2 linked regions of the Neodiprion lecontei genome follow. The protein of the gene in region 1 purifies or fractionates together with the protein of each later gene. This does not show direct contact. Links are inferred from orthologs where the notes say so. Each region holds a gene or a part of one and is shown on either strand. Other genes may lie near its edges. The genes, in order: splicing factor ESS-2 homolog and protein FRA10AC1.

Region 1 (5,169 bases):
AATCTGCAATCAAATATTGAAGCCGAAAATATTTCTGGCACGTCCAGATTTTACGATTTATCAGTTGACGTACGATTGTATCAAACAAGCTTGCGTTGGTCATAGAATTGAACTATTTCTTAGACGGGCTTTTGATTCACTCAAATTCAGGAGGGAGCAAAAACATGAAAATGCACAGCTTCATGTACTGTCATGGCGATTTATGAGATTCAGCTCGGATCTCCTTTTTTTGCTGGAATTTTTGATCAGTGAAGTTCTCGAATGTAGGTTTCATTCGTCGCGATATAGCAGATATCATTTTCTAATGCACTCTCAATGAAATTACAGAACTAGGGGCCCAGAATAATCACAGTCTGTCCTTTTTCTTTTATAACATACACAAATACTTTAATGTGAGCGTTGTAATTTTTACTTTGACTCTGGACTAGCAGATTTCGTCGATCTAGATCAAATCAAATTTGTTGCATAATACTTTGCGTTTGAATATACGTTTTTAATATCGAGCAAACATTTTAAAATTTTACCAAATTATTTATTCAATAGATATTGGCTGGACATTGTCTCACAGAAGGATCTCTATTCAAAAATAGGAAAAAATAAACAGGTCGACAATACTATGGTCGGTAAGAACTTCATTTATTCATCACTCTGACACAGATTGTTTTAAATTTCGGCACGTTGTGAATAATATTTTTCGTGAAAATGCTTATCGAGCTTATCCGTGAGTATCTACCAGCATATTACCTTTGCGTTCACACCATCGGAAAAAAATGACGTAATGACTTTTCGTAAATTCATTTCTAATGGAATCGCAAATTAGTGTTAATCATTCGTCAATATTACCAAATCAATAATAAATATTGCATATAATAAATCTCCCCAAAAAAATTATTACATAAAACTTAATCTTAAGTACGTATTTACAAAACTTGAACAATATTAACAGTGTTTCCATTCAGCGAAATATAGAAACACGCAAGTGAAGTTAGCCGAAAACTAGTAGTATATCGTTCAACTATTTTACACTTATAAACACAGGATACTCCTATCAAACTAATGAGTAAATACAAGTAACCAGTGGACATTATAAAACTTAAGATATATTACAATATTTGCATAGCATCGACTTAACAATTGAACGGAGTAAGGAACAGACGTGAAATACATATCAGTGGTAGAATTCTTTTGAATTAAATTTATACAGCTTTTGCTTAATTTATACACATACCTCTGCATTTATCAAGATTTAGAATGAAATCGATTCACTTATTGAAAAAATCAGCAGCTCTCTGTCTTTGCGTTGGTAAATTAAGCAGATTATCGGTAAGGACAGGACCCTGCAGTGTCGATGTCTTTTCCAACGCAGAATCTTGACTCTTAGATCCAGGTGTGCCAAATATCGGTGTGTGTGGCGTCCTTACGCCTATAGAAGGAGTTCTTGTTTGTCGAGATCTTCTAGGAGTTGGGGTTCCTGAAAGCCGCAACTTTTGCGTCGCTAATCTCCTCGCAGCTGGTGACATCGTGCTCAAACGATCCATCGCAGATAAAGGTCTGGGTGATGGACTGTAATTGAAAAATATAAGAATTAGAATGGCTGATTAGTGTGAAATTTTTTATATAGTGCAAGAATTGATAAATAAACACAGGGATCAACTGTTCTGCATGAGAAGAATGAAAATTATTAAGACTGTATACCTAGCCAAGGATCTTCTTGCAGCTTCCAAGGCTTTACTTTTCCGGTCTCTGTGCCTCTCTCCAGCTTTCTCTGCCAGTTGTAATGCAATTTTTTCTCTTTTCGGAGGCTCAGCCATTCTGAATGCTGGCCCATGGCTGGTTCTAAGTAGCGGAGTATCACCTCCATCCAGCCTGAATGGCGTCCCTTCTATTTGACCCCAAGTCATAATTGGGCTATCGCATTCTCCAGGTCTAGGACTTGGCGTTGCAACAAAGCTAAATCCATTGACCCTCGGGGTTGGATTACGAACTACTTCTTTTCCATCGATTCCAATCTTGCCGTCTTTAACCTTTGATTGAGTTTTGGCAAGTTCGTTGATCGTTTCCTTATTCTGTTGTTCGTTAAAAGGATTCATTCTAAGTCTGGTATTGTCGTGAATGACTTCCTGTTTCCTCTTAGCCAGATTGATCTTTTCTTCAGGAGTCAATTCAACGCCGTCAGGCACATACATGATATAATTTTTGTTCGTGTAACTCCAGCCGTCGAGTTCCTTGGGTTTTTCATAATTACCCTCAATGCATCTCGTCTCATTTTTGTTCCTCTCAATGGCCAAGACTTTAGACTTTTCTTCAACCTCATATAGCCACGAGTATTTAAGCCTGTGTTTCTTCTCCGACTCTACCATCATCTCCTCAAAACTTGCGTTGTCCTCGCTTGTATGAGAGGTCAAGTAAGCATCAAGACCCATCTTCACCTCCGTCTCAGCGTCGTTAGTAGGTACGTCTATCTCCGTAGACTTTGGCATTTCCATGACGGACTCGTCGGTGTTTCCGTTCCGCAAAGGAGTCTCAAACGTTGCAGGACTCACCGGCCGCTCCGTGATGGGTCGTCCTGAACTGTACTTCTCGTACAACTCGCGCATCCTCTTTATGTTGTTGTGCTCAAGTGCGTCGAGGTAGTCGTTCTGAGCGTGCAACTTTTCAAGGTCAGGGAAAAAGTCCCTCTGTATGATCTCGGCCATCTTACCGATGTACGTATCCTCATCGAGGATCGTCGACTTGCAGCCCTTTCTTCGTTTCGCCACCCCAATTGGCTTTTTAAACACTGCCAACTCCTTTATGTTTCTCGCTGCCTCGAGCGCCTGTGAACCAGGCGTGTCCATCGGCGAGCCCATTTGCCCCTCAGGCGAACGTAAATTTATCACGATTCTACAGCAAGCTTCGATTGCGTTGAACAGAAACTTATACTTTTCAAGTATTTAATGTAAACACAATCAAAGTGAGGTTACGTTCGCGACTTTTACTCGTTTCGACGCCATGACACTTTGTCACTTTTCCAGGTGATGCCATGAGTCGTGGACACTGATTGACTTATTCGTAGAGTGGCGCCACGGCACGGCCAAGCCCAGCAGCCTCGATGAAATGTGGAGTCAAGAAACCTGCAGCGGGAACTTTGAACGGTGTCCATCACTCTTCTAAAGACGTGAAATTAAAAATGAATACGTGGAATCTCAACGTTCGGTGTTTCACTTCAAGTGGTCTTCGAATAGAAGAGTATGTATGATAATTAATAAGAATCTCAAGCACTTCAAGTTAGTCACCGTTCTCAACTATAGTAGAACCTTTCCGAATTATGAAAAACTGCATAGCTTCCTGACTTGCCTCCGATCTGAATTAAGCTTCTTTTACAGTTCAGTCAATTTTGTTACAAGCTAGAGAGTAAGTTTTTACAAGTCAGTTACCCGCAAACAATTTGTAATACGGTAATTAGTATTGCAATTATATTGTGCTGCTTTTCGTACATCGTTCGCGAAACGGAAACAGTGTTCGCTAGCACCGAAAAATAATAATTAGTCCATCGTACAACCTGCTTCAAACGCGCTTTGCGCACTTTCGCTTGAACGATGATATGCAGGTATTTATTTCTATAAATTAAAACATCAAGCCATTCGCTATATCACACAAACGGGTGTAGTAACTTTATTGAAATGCCATGCAACGTCAAAAATTTTGTCCAAAAATTCCCTAAACTCACTGATAGATTTCTTTGCGGCAAATTTATATTTCACCTATCGGTGCAACCAGTTTATAATTTTCGAGTTGGACTAATGTCGTCTATTCTTTCCTGTTAAAAACCTAGAATAATTATTTTTTACTTGCAGGTGTAATTATTCGAGATAAAACTCAGTGGCGACCGATTTGTACGGAGTTCGATTCGAGTACCGAGAAAGTCAGTGGAGTGCAATATTCCTCCTATATCATTGCGTAATATTTGTTATCCGCTAACAAGCAGAACTTACTCCAAAATATCGTCATGTTTAAAACGCGCCAATAAATTTCTGGAATGGAAGATAAAAATATTTCGAAGCCGTCGCCTCAGTTCCAGAGGGAGGAACGACGGCGTTTGAAATCTGGTAAAAGAGGGTACAGGTAAATAACGTGGTGCAGCCATAGCCCGCGATTTGTAAAAGACGCCCCTGCGTTGGCCACTGTACGCAAAGATCGAGTGGTATTTTGGTCGAGCCGTGGCGGCAGGCGAGAGAGGAGAAAACGAGGAAGGCCGAGGCAAGCGCAAGAGGAACAAGACACACAAATAGGAGCGGACGCATAGGAGCTTCGCATCAAAGTGTGCGGAAGATCCCGATGCTCCTCTCTCTCTCTCTCTCTCTCTCAAGTGATTCCGAGGTGTTGGCGAGGCGCGCTGACGGACATATGGGGATTCCAGCAGCGAGATAGGAAAGCCGTGCCGACGACAACGGCCAAACGCCGCAAGTCACTAACTCTACATTTACTCGGCAAGCACCGGGAACACACGACGGCCCCTTGACTTTACTTACGGCCTTTTTCTCTTTATATCGCCATTCGCGTCCGCATGATCGAGAATGGACCCCCGTTCCTCCCATTACCGCCGCGATTAATCGTTTCATGCTATTCATGCAGCAGCTAGCTTATAGAACTTGTTTGCTGACAATTATAGATATTCGCTATCTGAAATAGAATTCTAGACAAATTCTTCGTTTCATTACTTCAAAGTAGTCGTCGAATTCGATCGTTGTAAAATAAATTCAACTTTTATATTAGCTCTAATTCTTCATTTTCATATTCGATGAAACTATCAGCACTCGATAAAAGGCGATCGATGCTAATTTGTTTGCCGGATATTTCAAACATTTCACTTCGTTTTAGAATCGTTTCATTTTTTTTCTTATAAAAATAAAAAAAAATTTAAAAAAAATGGTGCAATTTAAATTCCAACCGCAGGATTCGCACTCACGATCACATGCTTAAGAAAAATAATTCAATCGAATTAATCGGGGTATAACAATTGTATGGTATAATCGTTAAAATCAATTCTAAATTCTGACGTCAAGTAATCGATGCTTTTAAACTGTTTTCAGTTTATTTGATAAAGGTTTCAAGATTTCCAGGTGCCGATACGAAGTGTATAATTAAAGACCCGCCGGTATTGCGCAAGTATAATGCAGACGTTCAGAG
Region 2 (4,539 bases), about 15 Mb from region 1:
ACTCTGCGAGATACAACTGATGGGCTTTGTCTCTGATTTCTTGCTTAAACTCTGTCCAGGTATTTCTCTCCAGTATACCCAATGTTACAAAAAACATTCCTATGCAAAGAGGAGAGCACACCATTTGGTCAACCAATACCTTCTTTAAGACAATGCCAATTGTTCTACCCGGCATTTTTCGATCTAGAAATCTGTACCAGTGATGGCACACTATGCCGACGGACATACCAGATATCGCCATGTGTCTTGTTCTTACAGGACTCCATTTTTCCCAGGTACCCTGAATGTAAGTATACTTATGTTTGTTAATATGTATTAGCTATGAGTTTTGAATTTATAAAAAATACGGAATTGCGTTACCTGAAGAATTTCGTAATGCTGTTCTAGAATGTCACCAACGCCGGAGAGAGATACGGAAATTGCGATATTGGTGTAAAATAAGTTTTTTGGTGAGAATATTTGTTCTTTCAGTTGATTGACCCGACTTCCAAGTTGGGTCACCCCACGAGCTATGCTCATTCTCTGAAATCAAAGGGTATTGATGGAGTTGTGTTGTGATGATTGGACTGTGAAACTTAGGTAATTGCGGGTATGAATCGATCGGATGACGTTAGTAACAAGTTTTCCTTTTAGTTTATCAATGCTTTTGCTACAGATAAGACGGCGGGCAAATATCAGTTAAAGTTAGGTTACTTGTATTCGATTATTAGCCTAAAAGTAATTTAACAATGTTTTTTGCTTCGTTGAAAGTGTTACATGTTATTACACTCACAGTATAATATACGTAATAATATCCTAGCCAGTTGTATTCGTCTTGAAACTAGTTATCCGAGTTCGTAGGGAATTGCGTCAAGGGTTGTAACATAGGATTTAAGGTTATCTGTAAGACTAGCGCGAGCATCGAAACAACAGTGATTCAGTACTTTGATCATTTTTACAACAACGGTGAATGCAACTTATGCCTATTATAACGAAATAAAGCGATCTTTTAAAACGTTAAAACTTCTACCGAGAGTAGCGGTTGATAGCAGAAAGCATCGGAGGCCACGTGCAAAGACCACGACCACTCGTGATGCGCAAACTACTCGTATCAAAACTATTCACATTTGGGGTGGAGTCTTGTAAATTTCAGAACTCTGTATTGGTTTATTAATTATCTTTGATATATAACTTTTTATTCTATGTTTTCAACTTCTATAGCAGTGAAAAATAATTCTAAACGTTTTCCTTTGGATATGAATCATAAAGGAACGAATTTGACTGCTTGAGCGCTTTATGTGTCAAGGGATCGCTACACTAGCTAATTTATTGCCTTTTGGCTGATTTCTTATACGGGTGATAAACAGTTAAGTATATTACTCAGTCTATCGAACTTTATTTTTTATAATTTTAACTAGCTATTGGGGTAAACAAAATTGAGAGTAAATAAATTTTAGTGGGCGGTATATAATTTGGCATTTCAATTTCAACAATGAATACAAAATGGCGATGATGGCTACACTTCTGCGTAACTGCAGAAATTGTAGAATCTGATTGGTTGTTATTTTAAACCAGCCAATCAATTTCTACGATTTCTACTCACACACTGCGTTATATTCATAGACTTATTCTACAGTAAACGTAACCAAGAATCCATCTGACAAGTGCAGAAAGACGAATTTGAGTGTCAGCCGCGTTTAGCGCGATTTTTTGCAAAATCGAGTAATTGAATGGAAAAACCGAAACGTTGATATAATGTTTCCTGCATATGCGAACCTCTCGGCATATGATCGTCACAAGAAGTTGATGAATGATTATTTTTTAACGAGAAAAGGTTCAGCCATAACCTTGAAACGGGACACGTAAGTGAGAATTACTTACTAGAAAAAAAAAAAAAAAACAAGGTTCGAAATGCATTCGAATAGATGGAATGATAGTTATCTGTTGACCAGAGACATGATGATAATAAAATAATCTTCCTGTTCATCATGACGTTTCGGCGTGTTTTTCGAGGTCGCGGGACAAAACAGACGCCGATGTTATTCGGGATCAGCACAGATTTTTATGGCACAGCGAAGATAACGACGTACCCGATTCGTGGGAAACTAGACTGGCAAAAAAATACTATGACAAATTGTTCAAGGAGTACTGCATATCCGATTTGACCCACTACAAAAAAAACAAGGTACCTCTTTCCGCTGATCCATTTTACTTTTGCTTTGTAATACGCCATTGCTTTATGTTCCACTTTTAAAACTCAGGTTGCTCTCCGATGGAGAACAGAGAACGAAGTTGTCATAGGCAAGGGTCAGTTTCAATGTGGAAACAAGAGATGTGTAGAAAAGAATGAGCTCAAAACTTGGGAAGTAAATTTCGGTTATGTCGAGCATGGAGAGAAGAAAAACGCGCTTGTCAAATTGAGTGAGTCTCCGACGTTTGTTTGTAAAAAACTTATGACCAGTTTCCTTGTTCAGTACATATAAATTTATTAATTTCCAGGACTTTGTCCAGAATGTTCTCTCAAGTTAAATCATCATAGTAGAAAGCGGGAGGTGAAAAGAAGAAGATCTTTAAAACGATTAGGAAAAACTGTTGACGTCCAAGAAGTTTTGGCGACGTCTACTACTATGGTAAGGGACGCAATTGAAGTTAAAGTTGAAAAGGAAGATCAAGCCGACGACAAAAAGGAAGAAAAAACCGTTAAGGAATCGCAAATTTGGAAGGACAAGCCCACAGATAGCAATGAAAAATCAAGGGAGGAAGAGTTCGAAGAGTATTTCGATGAACTGTTCATGTAAAATAGATTACACCGTAGTAAATAACGAAAATATACTCTCATTTCACAGAACAATTGTACTGTGTACTTATTACACTGTCTAATAAAAACGGATTTCATTTTACAGACTATCATAGACAGGAACGGTTGTTTTATGATCGATCAGTTTTTTGATTTCAACTAAAACGATATAGTTCATCTGGTGTGTTTCATCAGTAGCTATATTTAATTTCATGTCATGTCATTCCAGGATTTCAAAATTACTAGCCTGTCAGGAGTATAAGATAAATTTTATTTATAAAAAATTCATAACGTAGTAAATTCAATTTTTTTTAAATAGCGCTAGATTCTGTCTACCTGTATGCTTATACGTATGCAAACTTTGTAATTCTGGATTTTGTACGTATGTATAATTCAAATATCTGGTGAAAAAACTAAGCTACGTATCTCACTTTGAATTCCGACTTTTGTTACACTGTGCTTTCCAATTTCTTGACATTTTTTCCCTCCATTTTAAAATTGATTTGATTAGTAAAAACTACTTTATCAACATGCAAGCACCATTATTGCAGATTTCTTTTCCCCTACCTTCCAAGTTATTATATATTATGAAGATTACTATAGTATTGACTGAACGTAAATAAAAAATAATTTATTATAATTTCATATCATATACGGTAATATGTAACGATTACAATATTGTCAGATGATATACAACGTCTCTAGATATCTAAAAATTTGTTTAACATTTCTTCTTAATCTAAGTAAACGACTGGGCATATTGCCCTCTCAACTTGTTGAATTCACCCGTCGGCGTTGCTAGTCCTTTTTTGTTGCTTAACAATAATTATTATAACTAAATTTTTTTCGTCGTATACAATATCATGTATATTACATAAAGACCATCGGCAATATTTTAATTACACAACACGCCAACGTGTAGAATTATCAATTGTTTCTTTGCCTATAAACGGGCTAAAAGCTTCAAACAATTTGACCAGTGGTGAAAGCCAAAATTCGAGTAGTTTAAAAACTGAATAATCAATAGTCAACATCTAACGGCTTATCTAATTTACTTCTCTCAATGACAATTTACGTGCTTCGATATTGGCCTGCTTTTGCGAGTCGCTATCTTCGTCGCTACAATCTTCGTCGTGAGTATGTGTCACATTTCTAGGTGTTTCAGGCCTTGCATGTGGTATCTGACTCCCTGTATGATCGATGTCGACTAATCCCTGCTAAGAGGATACAACAAAGTTAGTTAATATTCTGTAATTAGCTATCACGGAAGTGCCTATATTTCCATGTGAAAACTTACGCTGAATACTTTTCCCTGATCTTCTTCCTCGTCTGTGAGCTTGAATGTGCGAGATCGACTGATCATTGGAGTTTCCATAACAAATCTCTGCTCATGTGCGACCGTACTTTCATGAGGCATCTAAATATGTGACAAAAACATGCATCGCGTTATGAATAATTATTTATGAAAACCGTTTATCGATCTGGAAACGCATCTTGGGATTACCAACCAGCATTGCAGGTGCTCTAAACATGTAGGAAAACGGATAGTAAATTAGATTCAGGAACGTTGCCGCATAGAGGTCGGCATACCTCACGACCTGGCTGCTGAAAAACGTCTGCCTACTTCCGCTGCGAAATAGAGAACCCATCATACCATAAGCCAAGTCCATTTTGTGCGTAACATCCCTTATCGACGCCCGAAGTTTTGAGATGTCTGGTTTCTCTTTTGTACTGCTATCTAAATTTCTATGAAGAAAATAATG

What was found.
Region 2: the proteins of splicing factor ESS-2 homolog (region 1) and protein FRA10AC1 purify together in Homo sapiens (co-immunoprecipitation; 3 studies listed by BioGRID and IntAct, counting the BioPlex papers as one, with this or other methods). This does not show direct contact. The link is inferred for Neodiprion lecontei from reciprocal best matches to the Homo sapiens genes ESS2 and FRA10AC1.

Annotation. Positions count from the first base shown.
Region 1 is NC_060262.1:35,270,719-35,275,887, forward strand, and holds splicing factor ESS-2 homolog, read right to left. Parts: upstream 3,035-5,169; 5' UTR 2,850-3,034; coding exon 1,696-2,849; intron 1,564-1,695; coding exon 1,263-1,563; 3' UTR 616-1,262; downstream 1-615. UniProt on the Homo sapiens protein: May be involved in pre-mRNA splicing.
Region 2 is NC_060262.1:20,624,207-20,628,745, reverse strand, and holds protein FRA10AC1, read left to right. Parts: upstream 1-1,604; 5' UTR 1,605-1,734; coding exon 1,735-1,841; intron 1,842-1,992; coding exon 1,993-2,164; intron 2,165-2,240; coding exon 2,241-2,400; intron 2,401-2,478; coding exon 2,479-2,777; 3' UTR 2,778-3,773; downstream 3,774-4,539. Other genes in the region: mpv17-like protein 2, read right to left, coding at 1-280, 361-519; cytosolic purine 5'-nucleotidase, read right to left, coding at 3,823-3,993, 4,074-4,193, 4,285-4,522. UniProt on the Homo sapiens protein: May be involved in pre-mRNA splicing.